Arabidopsis thaliana: one gene and its partners. The protein of the gene in region 1 interacts with the protein of each later gene in a pairwise test. Each region holds a gene or a part of one and is shown in the gene's direction. Other genes may lie near its edges.

The links. The genes of interacting proteins can lie anywhere in the genome.
Region 2: the proteins of UBC11 (region 1) and RFI2 interact in a two-hybrid assay, tested with the Arabidopsis thaliana proteins (one large-scale study listed by BioGRID).
Region 3: the proteins of UBC11 (region 1) and AT5G42940 interact in a two-hybrid assay, tested with the Arabidopsis thaliana proteins (one large-scale study listed by BioGRID).

Annotation. Positions count from the first base shown.
Region 1 is NC_003074.8:2,638,703-2,643,812, forward strand, and holds UBC11 (ubiquitin-conjugating enzyme 11), read left to right. Parts: upstream 1-2,309; 5' UTR 2,310-2,523; exon of another isoform or gene 2,524-2,663; intron 2,664-2,765; 5' UTR 2,766-2,784; coding exon 2,785-2,854; intron 2,855-3,222; coding exon 3,223-3,350; intron 3,351-3,432; coding exon 3,433-3,537; intron 3,538-3,643; coding exon 3,644-3,787; 3' UTR 3,788-4,217; downstream 4,218-5,110. Other genes in the region: AT3G08680 (Leucine-rich repeat protein kinase family protein), read left to right, coding at 1-1,170, 1,248-1,888; UBC12 (ubiquitin-conjugating enzyme 12), read left to right, coding at 4,780-4,849. UniProt on the Arabidopsis thaliana protein: Accepts the ubiquitin from the E1 complex and catalyzes its covalent attachment to other proteins. Mediates the selective degradation of short-lived and abnormal proteins.
Region 2 is NC_003071.7:19,551,348-19,556,625, reverse strand, and holds RFI2 (RING/U-box superfamily protein), read left to right. Parts: upstream 1-1,978; 5' UTR 1,979-2,274; coding exon 2,275-2,467; intron 2,468-2,840; coding exon 2,841-3,013; intron 3,014-3,134; coding exon 3,135-3,193; intron 3,194-3,300; coding exon 3,301-3,326; intron 3,327-3,415; coding exon 3,416-3,704; coding exon of another isoform or gene 3,705-3,783; coding exon 3,784-4,120; 3' UTR 4,121-4,312; downstream 4,313-5,278. Other genes in the region: AT2G47720 (uncharacterized protein), read right to left, coding at 1-2; AT2G47710 (Adenine nucleotide alpha hydrolases-like superfamily protein), read left to right, coding at 670-853, 956-1,050, 1,288-1,409, 1,494-1,581; AT2G47690 (NADH-ubiquinone oxidoreductase-like protein), read right to left, coding at 4,574-4,675, 5,109-5,278. UniProt on the Arabidopsis thaliana protein: Mediates phytochrome (phyA and phyB)-controlled seedling deetiolation responses such as hypocotyl elongation in response to red and far-red light. Required for light-induced expression of LHCB3 and CHALCONE SYNTHASE (CHS).
Region 3 is NC_003076.8:17,215,363-17,222,262, reverse strand, and holds AT5G42940 (RING/U-box superfamily protein), read left to right. Parts: upstream 1-1,590; 5' UTR 1,591-1,901; intron 1,902-3,004; 5' UTR 3,005-3,091; coding exon 3,092-4,714; intron 4,715-4,862; coding exon 4,863-4,922; intron 4,923-5,047; coding exon 5,048-5,146; intron 5,147-5,234; coding exon 5,235-5,375; intron 5,376-5,461; coding exon 5,462-5,614; 3' UTR 5,615-5,934; downstream 5,935-6,900. UniProt on the Arabidopsis thaliana protein: Probable E3 ubiquitin-protein ligase that may possess E3 ubiquitin ligase activity in vitro.

The DNA of each region.
Region 1 (5,110 bases):
TTGTTCCTCACAGTCGCAAACTCAACTGGAACTCCACTATTCCAATCTGTGCCTCTTGGACTGGTATCACCTGCTCCAAGAACAACGCCCGTGTAACCGCACTCCGTTTGCCTGGATCTGGACTTTATGGACCTTTACCAGAGAAAACATTTGAGAAGCTTGATGCCCTCAGGATCATTAGCCTTAGATCCAACCACCTTCAAGGGAACATTCCATCTGTCATTCTTTCACTTCCTTTTATCCGATCACTATACTTTCATGAAAACAACTTTTCTGGTACTATCCCTCCCGTCCTTTCTCATCGCCTCGTTAATCTTGATCTCTCCGCCAACTCGCTCTCGGGAAACATTCCCACGAGTCTACAAAACCTTACCCAGCTCACTGATCTCAGCCTGCAAAACAATTCTCTTAGTGGTCCAATTCCTAACCTCCCTCCTCGCCTTAAATACTTGAATTTGAGCTTCAATAACCTTAACGGGTCAGTTCCATCTTCTGTCAAGTCCTTCCCAGCATCCTCATTTCAAGGTAATAGCCTTCTATGCGGTGCTCCTCTGACTCCATGCCCAGAAAACACCACTGCACCATCTCCTTCACCGACAACACCAACAGAAGGTCCTGGTACAACCAATATAGGTCGTGGTACCGCCAAAAAAGTTCTCTCCACTGGTGCTATTGTGGGCATTGCAGTTGGAGGTTCGGTTCTGTTGTTTATCATTCTTGCCATCATAACCCTTTGCTGTGCCAAGAAAAGAGATGGCGGGCAAGATAGCACCGCAGTGCCAAAAGCTAAACCCGGGAGGAGTGACAACAAGGCTGAGGAGTTTGGGAGTGGGGTGCAAGAGGCGGAGAAGAACAAGCTGGTCTTCTTTGAAGGAAGTTCATATAACTTTGATCTTGAGGACTTGCTCAGAGCCTCGGCTGAAGTTTTAGGGAAAGGAAGCTATGGCACAACGTATAAGGCCATCTTAGAGGAAGGAACCACGGTGGTGGTGAAGAGACTGAAAGAAGTAGCAGCTGGGAAACGGGAGTTCGAGCAGCAGATGGAAGCCGTGGGAAGGATCAGTCCACACGTGAATGTAGCTCCTCTCCGTGCCTATTACTTTTCAAAAGACGAGAAGCTACTCGTGTATGATTACTACCAAGGGGGCAATTTCTCCATGCTGCTTCATGGTAATATGATGTTTTACATGTTACTCAAGGTTATAAAAAGTGGCTTTAAAGTAACACTTTAGATGAATTCTATGCAGGAAACAATGAGGGAGGAAGAGCAGCGTTGGACTGGGAAACAAGGTTAAGGATCTGTTTGGAAGCTGCGAGGGGAATTTCTCACATCCATTCTGCATCTGGTGCTAAACTCCTCCATGGAAACATCAAATCACCAAATGTCCTCTTAACCCAAGAACTTCATGTCTGTGTCTCTGATTTCGGTATAGCTCCATTGATGAGCCATCACACCTTGATCCCATCAAGAAGCTTAGGTTACAGAGCACCCGAGGCCATAGAAACACGGAAACATACCCAGAAGTCCGACGTATACAGCTTTGGTGTACTGTTGCTAGAAATGCTGACTGGGAAAGCAGCAGGGAAGACTACTGGGCATGAAGAAGTGGTGGATCTGCCAAAGTGGGTGCAATCAGTGGTGAGAGAGGAGTGGACTGGAGAAGTGTTTGACGTAGAGCTGATCAAGCAGCAACACAACGTAGAGGAAGAAATGGTGCAGATGTTGCAGATAGCAATGGCATGTGTGTCTAAGCATCCAGATTCTAGGCCTTCAATGGAGGAAGTGGTTAACATGATGGAGGAGATTCGACCTTCAGGGTCCGGTCCTGGTTCTGGTAACAGAGCCTCCTCGCCGGAGATGATCAGAAGCTCTGATAGCCCGGTTTAGATTGGTTTTAAATTCTCTTTCTCTCATTCTCAAATCATTATTTATTTTTGCTTTTCCTTCTTCTTCTTCTTCATAAACCGTTTATTTTAGTTCTCTATGTCTGACTGCATAATTTATTCCAATCAATATCTGGAATTGTAGTGTAATTGAAACCCTCACCATGAATGGTTGTAGTTCTTAGATTGGTTATAAGTGTGCGACTAGTTTTGAATTTTCATTTGTTGTTGTATGATTCGTTTAAATTAAATCACAAGAGTCTTTGGGTGTTTGAAAATCTAACTGAAATAGTGATACAATTATATGTGAAATTTATCGTCTCAAAAAGATAAACTACATGAGTAAATAAATAAAAATAAAATCATTGCTCTGTATTTTTTGACTGCATGAGTCCTAATTGGTGAAATAAAAAAACTTTTGGCACGAGAATTAATAAATATATAGAAAAGGTGAAATAGGTGAGGCGGTACTTGCTGATAGAATCAGAAGCTTCGAGACTGACTTGTTTTAGATTCTCTGACTATAAAGAAAGGCAAAGTAACAAGTTTCGTTTTCTCCTTTGCACTCCATTTTTATTCTCGATTCTCTTCTCTCCCGATAAAGAAGCTCTCGCTTTGTGTTGTCCGTCCTTCTTCCAGGTCTAATTCCACCATTTCTCTTTGGTTAAACCCTAATTTCTTTCTCTCCCGAATCGTCCTCTGTTTTTGTTTTGCGCGATTAGTTTCCACCGCTTAATAATAGGGTTTCCGATCACTTACGTTTTGTGTTGTTTTGTTCGGTCTCTGGTTCTTCCACTGTGATCTGTTTTGTTCTTAAGTTGATTGTCTTAAGTTATATCCTCTGTTCAATAATATTCTGGTCTTGTTGGGGGTTTCCACAGGTTTTCTCGTCTCTGACGCATGGCTTCTAAGAGGATCTTGAAGGAGCTCAAGGATCTGCAGAAGGATCCTCCTTCAAACTGCAGCGCTGGTAATCTCCCTTTTCTAATCTGATTTTAACCAATTACTTACCTGGCACTAATGACTCTGAATTAGGTTCCTTACTCTCTCACTAGATTGATGTAGGTTAGGGTATCAAGTATCATACTTTATTTCCTCAATCCATGTTATGCTTCTGATTTTTTTTTTGGTAAAAGCTTTGGTTTGCTAGACTCTTTGATTAACGCTGATCTCATGGATTTTGTTGTCTGTTATGCACTTCATATTTACCCTTTCCTGTCCTGTATTTGACAAGTATCCAGAACTCTGCATGGTTTTGAGTTTATGTCAAAGTGTCTCCTTTTGTAGCTCCTGCTAATATGTCTTTATTGATGTAATTTTGTTGTCACGTTGTTTTAGGTCCGGTGGCTGAGGACATGTTCCATTGGCAAGCCACTATCATGGGACCTCCTGAAAGTCCGTATGCCGGAGGAGTGTTTTTGGTTTCTATTCATTTCCCTCCGGATTATCCTTTCAAGCCACCAAAGGTAATGTGTTGTGTTATGAGACTCTTTATGATTCATCGGTTTTTATCATTGATCTTATGATGTGAATCCATCGATCTTGCAGGTGTCTTTTAAGACTAAGGTGTACCATCCAAACATCAATAGCAATGGAAGTATTTGCCTTGATATTTTGAAAGAGCAATGGAGCCCTGCTCTTACTATCTCTAAGGTTCGAGTTTGTGTATCTCTACTCCTACCATTTTAACACAAATTATGTTACTATCTTAGCCAATTTTGTGTGTTAACGCGAGCGATATTGATGCTGTGGAAATTAGGTTCTGTTGTCGATTTGCTCGCTGTTGACTGACCCAAACCCAGATGATCCTCTTGTGCCGGAGATAGCTCACATGTACAAGACAGATAGATCCAAGTACGAGTCAACTGCGAGAAGCTGGACACAAAAGTACGCAATGGGTTGATGATATAAGACAAAGCAAAGGATATGTTATTGCGCATCGGAATAAAATAATAACTTAAAAAAAATGCACTTGTTTGGTTTATCAAACGTTAGCAAGTATCGAACAACTTAGCTGCTCTTACTCCTCTTCTGTTCTGATCACTATAAACTAGTATTAATTTCGATTGTTGGGTCTACTTTTATTCTCTTGTTTCCCTCTCCTCACTTGGTTGCAGGAAACTGCAATTCTAATCGCCCCAAACGCAATGTTTGGACTGTTTTGGTACACTCTTGACATAAGGGGTTCCAATCTACACATGGATCAACCACAACCAAAACCAAACCAACTATGAGCCTTCCATAGTTAGGATTATACATTGCTCCCAAATACAAAACTCGTTCCTAATCTTCTATTAACTTATACCAAAGTTGGTATATTTATGATTAAATTATTGATTTTCTTAATTTTTTTAATATATTTCAAAAGTGTACATGGTTCTAATAAAACACTTAAGAAATTTTCCATATTGTTTACAATAGCTGTTTTAGGAAATATCATATCTATAGACCAAACCAAGAATATCTTTAGACCAAACCAAGAATAGGTGTTTTAGAAAATAAACATATCTTTGGTTGCAATTTTCCAATATCATCCGCCATGGGTCCCTACTAATAGGTCAGGCGGTACTTGCCGACAGAATCAGAAGCCTCGAGACTGACTTGTATTCTCCGACTATAAAAAAGAAGTAGAGGGTTTTAGGCTTTTCACGAATCTCTTCTCTCTTTTGTAGTGGCCTTGAAAAAAAGATTCAATCTCCTGTTGTGGTATGTTTCTTTTGATCCATCTTTCCTTTATGTTTTCTGTTTCAACTACTTCTTAGGGTTTATCATCACTTACGTTACGTATGTATTGTTTTATTCGTCTTCCTCTATGATATGTTATGTTCTTAGTTGAATTCCTTAATACTCATTGTGTGTTGCTTATCTCGTCCGCAGGTTTTCGAGTCTAAAAGCATGGCTTCTAAGAGGATTTCAAGGGAACTGAGGGATATGCAGAGACATCCTCCAGCAAACTGTAGCGCAGGTAATCTCCCTTTTCTTGGCTGATTTTGACTGATAGATTCACACTAAAAACACTTTTAGGGTTTGATATATGTCACACTTTTATTTCATCAATCCACATTATATGTTTCTGAGTTTTTTTTGGTAACGCTATGATTTGTTAGACTCTCTTTGGTTCTGTTATATATATGTACTCTGCATGAACCTTTTTTTTTTTTTTTTTTGTATTCGAGAAAACTCGTTAAACCTTTGCCTGGTACGATTAAGAATATCCAGAGGTTTA
Region 2 (5,278 bases), on another chromosome or scaffold:
ATGGGAATCTGAAGATTCTGGAGAAATCTGAAATCAGATAAAAAAAGGTAAAGAGTAGCGTCAAGACGAAGAAGAATATAACTAAAAGCAATTTGGTTAGAGAGGTTTCTGTCGCACTCCTGCTTTTGCTTCACGTCGTCATATTATTCTACAGCCGGCCGTCTCATTTTTATTTTGTAATTGTTATCATCTGAGCCGGATTTTACCCAACTCAAATCATTCCACTATTTGAAATTAGATTTTTCTTGTAATAGTTAATTTCCAAGTAAAATCGAAAGTTATCAAACCAATTCATATCAGTTTGTTACTAAAAAGCTAATAACTGTTAACCTGCAAAATCCTTTTATGTACTTTGTTTTATGGGTAATATTCAAATTAGAATAAATTTTGTGTAAAATCTGTGGGTTCTTCTTATTTAAAATCTGTGGGTAACTTTAAATATTGGGAAATTTACTAATGGAAAGGCATAAAGAAATGAGGACCAGCCACGTCATCAAATCAAAGTATCACATTCCTCTTTTCTTTTTATTTAAAGAAATTAAATAATAGAAGAAGAAGATACCAAAACTCTCTTTTTCTGTGCAAACACTTTGGAGGATTCTTCTAGGCTTCTTTCTACCACAAACACAAGAGCGCGTTTTCTTCACGCCGGCGAACAACGTCAGAGTCATGGCCACCGGAGATGGGAAATCGGTGATGGTCGTCGGAGTTGACGACAGCGAGCAGAGCACTTACGCCTTGGAGTGGACGCTCGATCGTTTCTTCGCTCCTTACGCTCCCAATTATCCTTTTAAGCTCTTCATCGTCCACGCCAAACCTAACGCCGTCTCCGCCGTTGGTCTCGCTGGTCCCGGTACGCTCTTTGCTTTCACTCTCGAATCTACTCTTCTAGGGGTTCTGTTTTGGGCAGCGATGGGGAGAGATCATTTAGGTTTTGTTAATCTGTGTGTTTTAGGAACTGCGGAGGTTGTACCTTATGTTGATGCTGATCTGAAGCATACCGCTGCTAAGGTTGTCGAGAAAGCCAAAGCAATTTGTCAGAGCAGATCGGTACGATCTTGCTATTATCAAACATTCAAATTCGTTTTATGTGTTTCTTGGATTTTATAATCGTCATCATGTGTTGTATTGGACTCTATTAGATGAGTTTGGTAATGTGAATGTGAATCTCTAGCACATTTAAGAGCTTCAAGCTAAGTAGCACTGGTTTTTCTTATAGTAACTATCTATCTTTGGTTAGCAACTATCTTCTTCTTTTCAATCATCATTCCTAGGTTTGTTGTGTAGGTTCATGGCGCGGTGATCGAAGTTTTCGAAGGTGATGCAAGGAATATCCTATGTGAAGTTGTAGATAAGCATCATGCTTCTATTCTTGTTGTGGGAAGCCATGGATATGGAGCTATCAAGAGGTATTATTTCATTCAGCCTTAATTCTTATGATCAATCTTTCAACTATACACCCATTCTGATTCACTTGTCGGTTTGTGTGGCAGGGCGGTTCTCGGGAGTACGAGTGACTACTGCGCTCATCATGCTCATTGCTCGGTGATGATCGTGAAGAAGCCTAAGATCAAGGTCTGAAACCTAAGGGAAGGCTACTCGGTCAAAGCAAAGTCTCTGCATAGTCTTCTAATTCAGAAGAATAAAGTGAAATAATATTAGCTTGATGTGAAACAACGATTCAAGACAATATACATTTGCATCTATATGTGTAATTGTTTACTACATACAATGTTTTGGTATCCTTAGACAATCAATATTCGTGTGTTATAATATGCTAATCTTTCTCATAACAAAATGGATGTGAAAGTTATAATAAACTTCATATGAAAGAGACTAGAGAAGAAAACAAATCAACTAAATAGAGATTAATGATTTAAATGAACAAATTTATAGTTTGGTTGTTGGTTCAGATGGATGGATGGTTTGATGATCATCTATCCAAAACTAAAGTAATAAAATAATAATAAAAAATTATCCACAATGGGAGAGGAAAGAAAAGAAAAGGGAGAGTCCAATGTCATTGTCCGGTTTTGAACCACGTCATCTCTAACAGGTCGGACGAGAGAGAGAGAGAGAGAGAGAGGAAGAGGAAGGATAGATTTACCGCATCGGCGTTCCAAAAGGCAGACGAACTCGGAGAGACAGATAGCGATAGCGAGACATGGTTTCTCATTGATTTTTGTTTGACAATCCTTTCTTTTCTTTTTTTTTGTTCTTTCGAAAAACGAAAATTTTCGTTGGTTCCCTCCGATTTGGCCTGCTGGTGAAGATATGGCCGGAGCTAAAGATTCGGGTTGCGATGATGATCTCCGAATTGCTGGTGGATGTGACCCTGGAAAACGCGGGAACCCGGAGGATTCCTCGTCTCCTGTCGAAGTCTCGTGCTCGATTTGCCTCGAATCGGTGCTCGATGATGGTACCAGATCCAAGGCTAAGCTCCAATGTGGTCACCAGTTCCATTTGGGTATTTCATTCCCTTCCTCCATCTCTTACCATTTTGCGTTCCCTCCATCACAGTTTGATGATCCGATGGCTTTTTGCTTGTACAAGCTTTTGTGCAATTATCTGATGGTAGATTTGGACGATAATTGAATGAATTTGAGAATATAGATGGATTCCTAATCCCTTGCTTTGTTTACAAGCTTAGATTGCCACGACTCTGCAGTTGGTTGATCCTAGAAATGATCGAGTTCTGACAAATGTGTGTCGTAACTTGTGAATCGGTTTCTTCTCTTGTGTAGATATAGAATGAGGCTTGCTAGTTCTATTATCTGGCTGCTGAATTTGTTGCTATTTTCGGCTTTCCCTTTAGCAGCTTGTTTTTTGGTTTCTTGCAGATTGCATTGGATCAGCATTTAACATGAAAGGAGCCATGCAATGCCCTAACTGTCGCAATGTCGAAAAGGGTCAGTGGTTGTATGCAAACGGTTCTACTCGCCCCTTTCCAGAGTTTTCCATGGAAGATTGGATCCCTGAAGAAGACTTGTACGGTTTAAGCTATCCGGAAATGGTAAAAGCTCACTACTTTGTGCAACGATATGCTTTCTTTTCGTGTACATGAGAACTGTGCTTTTATCATATAACCTCCTTATGAGAGATCGCTTATCCTGACATTTTTACGGGGTTTGCAGCAATATCGGGTCCATTGGTGCCCGTTTGGTGAACTCTCTCAAGCAGCAGCTTCTTTCGAGTAAGCCTACAACACCTTTACCATGGTTTTTGCTATTATCTCTCTTTTCTAAGGCTTTTGATCCTTCAAACGCGAAAGCTAGAATTGACTTTTGCTCTGTGTTTCAGGGAACTGGAACCTGCAACCACTACATGTAAGTTAGACGCTGATTGTTCTGTATATAATCATTTCATTTTGTCTAGCAATCCGTTTATAATGTCAAAACCCATATTTCTTCCTTAGATCATACTGAGTTCCATGGACATCACGCCGCTGCTGTGAATCATTCGTATCTTGCATATGTTGGACCTGGCCCAGCCGCTACCCCGAGAACTAGCGACAATAACAGCACAGATGATCATCCCTGGAACAGCCACTCTAACGATCACTTTCACCAGCTTCCTGTTGCCCCCCAGTATCATCACCATTCCCCATCGTTTTCACTACCCGCTGCTCATGTGGTTGATGGTGAAGTTGACTCTTCAGCAGCACGAGGCCTACCTTATGCGCATCCATTTCTTTTTAGTCACCGGTTAGCTTCTCAAACTCCCTATTGCTCTCAACTTCTTGCAGAGTGTTTTACAATATTCTTTTGGAATTGGGCATTGTAGGTCTAATCAAAGGTCCTCACCAGCAATTAACAGTTACCAAGGAAGCAGCACCCAAATGCGTGAACAGCATCATGCTTATAATCATCAGAGGCAACAACATCATGCCAATGGTCCCACTCTCGCATCACCTCTCATCTCCATGACAAGAAGGGGATTACCGCCGCCGCCACCTCCCCCACCAATGCCAGATCAGAACGTTGGATTCTTCATTTATCCAGGTGGACACCATGAACCAGAAACCGATCAAATTCATGCATGGGAGAGAGATTGGTTCCCACATTTCCCTGTCCCATCGAATCATCGCACGATCCCTAGCTTGTGGCATAGACACTTCTGAGAGAAGTTGTGTCAGAACTCTACAGTCGCCTGGGAGAATTCTATCAGGCTTAATGATCAATGTATAAAAGAAAACTGGGGACTTGTTTGATCGATCAAAACTTGTTTATGATGTAACTATAACTGGTTTCCAATGTACATTGTGAGCTTTCCAAGAACAATTGTTATAATTAATTAAACACAAGTTATCGACAAAATGTTGCCATTGTTCCTGGTTGGATGGAGTAATAGTGAAGAAGTAAATGATCCACAATCCACATGTCCATAATTCAGGTGGAAAAGTATACGTCTCAAAGAGACGATTTAACATAAAAAGAAAGCAGAACATGATTGGATAAAATTGAAAACTGAAAAACAATCAAAGCGTTTAGAGATTCCAAGATACAAAATCTTCCATGAACCTTTTATTATTCTTCTCTGGAATCGGATGAAGCTTGAAGGAGGATTGTTGAGACTAGTGATGGTTGTGAGTCCCATCTCCGGCTTCTTCACCTTTCCTCGAAGCTGCTCTTAGTTTACGCTGCTCCTCCTTGTATATCCTGTTCCTTCTTTGAAACTGCAACAACAGGTACACAACACATAAAAACTTAAACTTACAGCATCTTCATTCAAAGTAAAGAAACCACTGGTGTCAATCGTAATGTTCTAAGAGAGCCGTGTAATTGCAGAAGAAACAGTTGTAACATGTACAGAGATGATTTAGTTCCAGAAACGCCTAATCGATACATCCTATCTTAAACAAGAGAACATGATCTTTCAATGGCATCTTGATTCTGCAGCTGAGGATTCCGAAAATGGCCAATCAACAAAGGCATGGGACTCATTTCCCAATTGCTCGACCTGATCTAGGATTTTTGGAATTTCGACAACTAAGTGATCTAGACATCACAATCACACTGATCTAGCCGGAAACAGTGGCGAACATCAGAACCATCAAATCAATGAAATTCTTCAAACAATATCACCGGAAAAAAGAAGTGGGTACCTACCTCTTTGGAATGGTGGAGACACTCGAGGTAATCTTCACGAAGAAGGGTACAATCTTTGGGCTCTCTGCAGTGAGACATACATTCACTGAAATCCATCCAGAAATCGTAGCATCTCCCTTTGTTTCCCGTTATTCCCCATCCCGACGCCATTTCCTCTCCAACCCAAATCG
Region 3 (6,900 bases), on another chromosome or scaffold:
ATTAATTTTTTTTTTGATAAACCCTATCAGCTGATCTGGTCGGTAGAATTGCACCTGTTTTATAGTAGACTTCTCTCCGAAAGACCACCATAAAGTTTGTCCCAAGTTTGGAGTGTTTTCCGAATTTCATGGATAATCAGACCGCCTGCATTTCTAACTACCATGTAAACCAGTTAGAATTTAGCCAAAACCCAACTAACACACTTTTCAGACAAATGTGTTTTTTTTCCAAAGATGGTCGAACTTAGATATAAAAATTTCACTCTTGACCAAAATTTTCTCTACCATATTGAGTAATTCAATTCTCTCTCTAAAAATTAGAGAAGTAACCCTCTAAACCAAATCATTTTAAAATGTATATAAAAACTCATTTAAATCATGATCAATTACAACATTATATAGAAATTCTCTCTTCTTCGAATCTCTCAAAGTAAGATGGTTATAATCATGTGTGTGGTTTCACTAATTAAACAAAGACACTTTGATTTTCACAATGAAATCAACATATGCCTTCAAAAACATTTCACATCCCAAAACAAATTTTAATATTCAAATACTTTTCAAAAATTAAAATTAAATTATGCTTTCAGGGGTATATGAAATTACTTTAATTTCCATATATCAAAGTTAAAATGTGCAACCATATTTGGATTTTATAAAATTTAAACAAAACATTAAATTTAAAATGATTTTTCTTAAAATATAAAAATATTATGTATGAATAGAATGAAATTTCTTCTTAAAAAAACGTTTCAAGAAGATAAAATTTATTTAAGGGGATGAACCTTATTATTTACAGTTCAGAAAATAATAAAGAAATTGATTGCTAATAATAAAATATTGACCAAAATTTAGAAGTAAATATTACACATAGACTTTTTGTTAACCCTAAAAAAACCTTTTTCGTTTTTTTCCTTTCTTTTATATATATAGGATAGGATAAAACCATTCATAAGTTAATAAATCTGCACACATATACTCTCTTTTTTATTACAGTTCACGCATTGATTGCAAACAATAAAACCAATATTGACCAATTAACTAGAAGTAAATATTATTAATAAAAATATTTTTTAACATGATGCACTCAAATAAAAAATATTTTTAGATTTTTTCTTTCTTTTGTATATAGGATAAAGAAAGACCATTCATAAATTGATAAATCTTGCCAGTACCAAATTTAGGTAACTAGTGATTCTGATCCACACGTATACTCTTTTTTTTTGTACATATATTTAAATGGGGAATCTAAGCTAATGGAAGAAAATAAACAATAAAAATAAAAAAGATAAACAGAAGGAGAAAGTAGACCAAAGTTACATGACAACTAGGAAACAAAAAGTTCGAAAAGAAACCGGATTTGTTCTGCTCGGTTAAGTTCCGGTTTAGTTCAGTATGAACAAATAAAAGTAAAACAAACGAGGGACGTGTGTATGGAAGAGGCAAAGGCTGAGAAACTTTTGGTTGGGACAATTTGCTTAAGTAATGACTAATGAATGACCCAAAAGAAAAATCCTATTAACTCTTTCTTCTTAAGCCAACTTGCTTTCTTCTTCAACATTACACATTACGTGTAACTGTAATTAATTAAAAATCTTTACACATTGAATTATTAGTTTTTGTTTATTCGTTGATTTAGGCATTTAGCAATTCAATTCAGTCTTTGGAAACTGTTCTTATGACTGACCCTTTTTAACTTTTTGATTCAATTTCCTTAAAATATTAGTTTTTATTTTGGGTTATATGGTAAATTACACATTGCCGTCTCGTCCTAATAATCCTCTTTTCTGTTCCCATTTGTGTTGTTGTGCTTTGCTTCCTTCCTTTTTCCTCATTCTCTCTTCTTCTCCTTCTTCCTTCTCCTCCACCACAAAGCGGTAGGTTTCTCTCTTCAACAATCGGTGAGTCTCTTTCGTTTTCATTAAGAATCTTCATAAAGTTTTGATTTTTATTGTTCTTAGATCGATTTATGTTCTGTATCTGTTTGGTTTTGGTTTTGATTTTGATTTTTGTGTCTTTTCTGGGTTCTATTGGGTTTTCAAAGCTCGATCGAAATAGATAAGAATCGGTTGGTGGGTTTTTTGAAAAATAGTTTTTTTTTTGAAATTTTGTGTCAAATTCTGTAGAATTGTTGTTGTGGTGAATTTATTATTCATCAGAAGGTAAAAAAATTATTTTTTGTTATTGGGTTTTAGATGTTTGAATCGGATCTTTACTTCTATGAGCTTGTTTTATGAGAAAGTTTGATTCTTTGAGGTTTTTGAATTGTTTTTTATTGTGATGATGCTTTATCTTCAAGCTGTGGGTTTCTTTTGTCTTTGCTTTTACCTTGCTGTTTCAATACATCTTTGCTTGGTATTGAGGATTTGTGAAACTTCATACGCTGTTGCATCTATGGGTAGTTGATATGTCATTGATGAGGCAGTGCTTATTTTGATATTTCTCTTGTTTTTCTGAATTGCCATTGTGGTGGTAGTTGAGTAAAATGTTTTTCACTCTTTTCCTTGTTTCAAAATTGGCATGCTTGTTACGTGGTCCTGGATTTTGTTTGTACCTCATTTTCATTGACGCTTTGTTTCGAAGTTGGCAGTTAGGTGTCAATTTGATAATTTAGACTTGAAGTTCTTTTGTGTTTAGAATGGTTGATCATATGAATTTTCTATCGCATCTGTCCTCTTATTTTTTAAGCTTGTTAATAACTCATGTGTCATTAGTTTCCTACTGAATCATTTGTGTTTTAGTTAGGCGTCGCATCTAGAAGTAAGTTGCATTTAGTAGTAGTTGCAGCGGTCTTGCTTTGAGTGACTTTTGCACCTTGTGCTCTTCTAGGTGAAGCAGATTATATGACTGTATATGCAATCTCAGGGTGCCATTTATTATTACAATTGTAGGAGCTATGTTTTGATTGAGTGTGTTTATATGTTTCTTATTACAGTTGACATCGTGTAGAAGCCTTTTCCTTGTCTTTGTTACTGAAAGATCTACTGTCTTTGTTGTTTTGCAGTCTCCCCATTAGGCACATTGTTGAGGGCAGGGTAGTCTCGTGAGTTCTCTTCTCCTGAGTGTAACTGTGGTTAAAAGCTTAGCCAAGATGCAGGGGGAGAGGGCCAGTCTTGGCTATTTATCAGAGGCCTTGAACTTTGAGCATGGTTCTTCTTCAAGTAATGGTGTGATAGATCATTGGGAGAATATTCACAGTCTTGGTGATAATGACTTGCAGGATTACATGATTGCAAATTCTGAATCAAATACTTCGCTTGCAAACTCAGTTTATCACGAGCAACAGGGTTTACGCAGATTTAGCCTTGGTGAGGCTAGCTCTAGTGGCACGAAGGATGAAGCTTCCAGTCACAATGAGCAACGAATGGAAACAAGATGCTTTGACGGACGAGGAAATGAAATAATTGATTTAGACCCAGTGTTTGCGCAGCCATCAGGCACAAATCAACCTGTTCAGAATGTCAATCTGAATGCAGAGTATATAGAAATTCACGAGGATATTAATCCATATAGAGGTCGGTCTGGCTTCATAGAAGCTAATGGACCAGGGACCAGGGTCTCACAACCTGGCAGATCTTTTGAAGAGAACGGTGTTGGAACAGGTTCTTCTGTAGAGGGACGTCGTGCATCCTGCAAAAGAAAAGCTCTTGAAGGCAGTATTAGTCAATCTTCTTCAGGAGGTTATCATGATTTCCAGCGTGGAGAAAGCAGTTCGTGGACCCCAGGTTCTACGGTTTTTAGGCCAGGAAATGGTTTAAACATATCTGGCTCCCTTGACAATGGACCAAGAGGAATGGTCTCCGGTACTGTACCAAATTTTCCTGTTTCTGCACCAAATTTTCCTGTTTCTGCCATTGCAGAGAGCTCCAGTAGAAATATATGCGTCAGGAGTAATCCCTCAGATCATCAAGAAACTGTAAACCCATCTACCTTTGCTGCGGGAACTGTTGTCAGGCGGCCTGTCCCTCCATCCCAGTTGAACTTGTCAAGACACTTACCAGCAGATCAGCATTCATTGGACTTGAGACCTGGACAGTCTTTTGTCGTTTCTCGTAACCCAAATTCTACTCCTGTGAGCATACCACCTGGTTCAAGGACTATGCTACCACCATTTCGGTGGACTGGGAGCTCACTAGTGGGTGGAACATCGAACTCTACTGCGCCCGTTGAGAGAAATCTTCATCTAGATGAAACCAGGTCAAGAAGCATACCCGGGAATACTCTTGAGATTCCCATGTTTGCAGCTCCTGAGGTAGGAAATTTTGCCCGTAGTCAGAGTAGCAGAAATGTAACAAATGGAAACCTGAATAGTGCATCATCAGTGTCCAGGACAGGCTCAACAACAAGTGTTCCACCACCACCACCACCATCTTCTAATCTAGCGTGGACTTCTTACCAGAATTCACCACATTATCAAAGAAGAAGGACTGAAAGGTCTGAACTTGCACGTAGGTCCTTGCTTTCTTCCCTTGCAGCAGATGCTACAAACCAGAGATCTGGTGATCATCCAACACTTCGTTCGTTGGCCCCTCCTGCCTCTTCGGATGGGCTTGTGCTTCAGCCTGGTGGTGATAATAGTCAGATGCATAATCGGGCTTACTCGAGAGCAGGTCCGTTGTTTGATAGGCAAGGGGATAGTGTGGTTGGTATTCCTCATCCTTTGCGGGCCTTGGCAGCTGCAAGCAGAGGAAGAAGCAGACTTATGGTGTCCCAGGTCAGTCGATACAAATTCTATTGGCATGTAGCCTTTAACGTGGATGGAATTTGTTAACTTTGGCTCATTCAGTTGCGCATAAATACCATTTGTTTGTTCTTCAGCAGTCACTCAAATAGAACTAACAATACGTTTCTCTTTCCGACAGATGCAGAATGTCTTGGATGTCATGCGTAGGGATGCTAATAATAACAACTTGCGGCTTGAGGTTAGTTTTTCCTGATTGTAGCGAAGTTATCTAAATTCGAACTTGTCTTGTGTCTGTCTCTGTTGATTTCTAGATGAACTAGCCTAATAACTGGAACATAAATAATCTGGATGCTTGTTTTCCAGGACGTTATGCTTCTAAATCACTCAGTACTATTTGATGGGGCTACTGGTCATGACCGGTATAGAGACATGCGACTTGATGTGGACAACATGTCATATGAGGTAAATTAAAAACCATAGTGAACCATAAATCTTTGTCTGAGTCACGTTAAATCACTAAATCTAACTCCTTTTGGTTCATAAACTGTAGGAATTGTTGGCACTAGAAGAGCGGATTGGAGATGTTTGTACCGGTGTAAACGAGGAAACCATATCAAACCGGTTAAAGCAACGAAAATACAAAAGCAACACAAAATCTCCACAAGATGCAGAGCCATGCTGTGTTTGTCAGGTAAAAATATACTAGTTACTGAAATAGCATTTAAAAGGTATAAGATTGTTTTTCGTCCGAGTATGAATGGTGAAAACTTGGTGCAGGAGGAATACACCGAAGGAGAAGACATGGGGACACTAGAATGTGGGCATGAATTCCATAGCCAATGCATTAAAGAATGGCTGAAACAGAAGAATCTTTGCCCAATCTGCAAGACTACAGGCTTGAACACCGCGAAGAAGCGGAGGATAGCATGATGATTTCTCGAAAGAGCTTTTTTTTTTTCTTAACTATTCAATTTTATAATCAAAAATGAAAGAAACAGAAGGTACCCTCAAGCCCCCACACCATTGCAGAGCCAGGCAAGTTTGTCCCCAATTTTTTTTAAAAAAAAGATAGAATTTGTTCGTATTTATAATCTGAGTATGAAAGATGGAAAGATTTGGATTGAAGGGAAAAGATAAAGGGTGGTAGGGAAATGTTGTTTTTTTCTTTTATGGATTTGTTTGGATAATTTAATTTTACCCATTGTCAATTAAGTTTATGAATCCTTTGAAAGAAGCAGGAAGTTGAATCAGCCGATTTTGAGAGAATACTTACTTTGAAAGCCCATATGTTGTTTTGAGTTACCTAGTTTGCTCTAATTGGTTACAAAAGTTTTAGGATGCAAAAATGTTGCAATTTTGGAGAAACAAAATCAAGTTGGATATGTGCAAATGGTTGTCCCTTAAGAGGCAGAGTAATAAGGTGAACAAGTTGAGTAAAAATTTAGTTGGAAGAATAAAATGAATAGATTGAGAGAAATAAGTTGTGTGTTGTTTAACTTGTTATGCTCGTATGATGGGACTTTAAGAAAAGAGATTTTATGGTAAATAGTAGAACTGTAGAGGAATGCAAAGGATTACACGTACGCTTTGAATGGTAGATATGGGCAAAGCGGACTAAAACAGTAACGGATTATAGTTTATGAATGGTAAACGAAAATCTCTTCAAACAAATGGATTTGTCTGTCCTAACCATCACAACCATTCCGGACTACAATATTTTTCTCAATTTTGTTACTCTAAATTAGAAATGTTTTGCATATATACTAAGGAGAACAAATCAAAAATCAAACTCTATTTGAAAGTCTTCCTAGAAATAGTAGCCCTCCAATATACAACAAGGCTAAGAAGAGCCGAAATTACCAAAGCAATGACCAACATATTGGAATTTGCCAATGCAACAACCAACAAATCCTAGAGGATTTACGGATCTCAATCATGTCCAAAGTCAAATGCAGAAAACTAAAGAAACTGAGGCTAGTCTTCAAATCATTAAGAGAAATGTTGATGACGTCCCATTCTTATCGACGGCACATGTTGACTTAAGTAAACGGTCCTGGAGGATATACGAATCTCAATCTTCTCTAGAGCTGTGACAGTTGCTTATTTCATTTGCGAGTTTTCATTCTGCGACTTATGTCATTAGGCGATTATGCGGTGTTACCAAATTTGAAACGAAATTGCATGTGGATGCATGTATTTATTGATGATTCCATTAT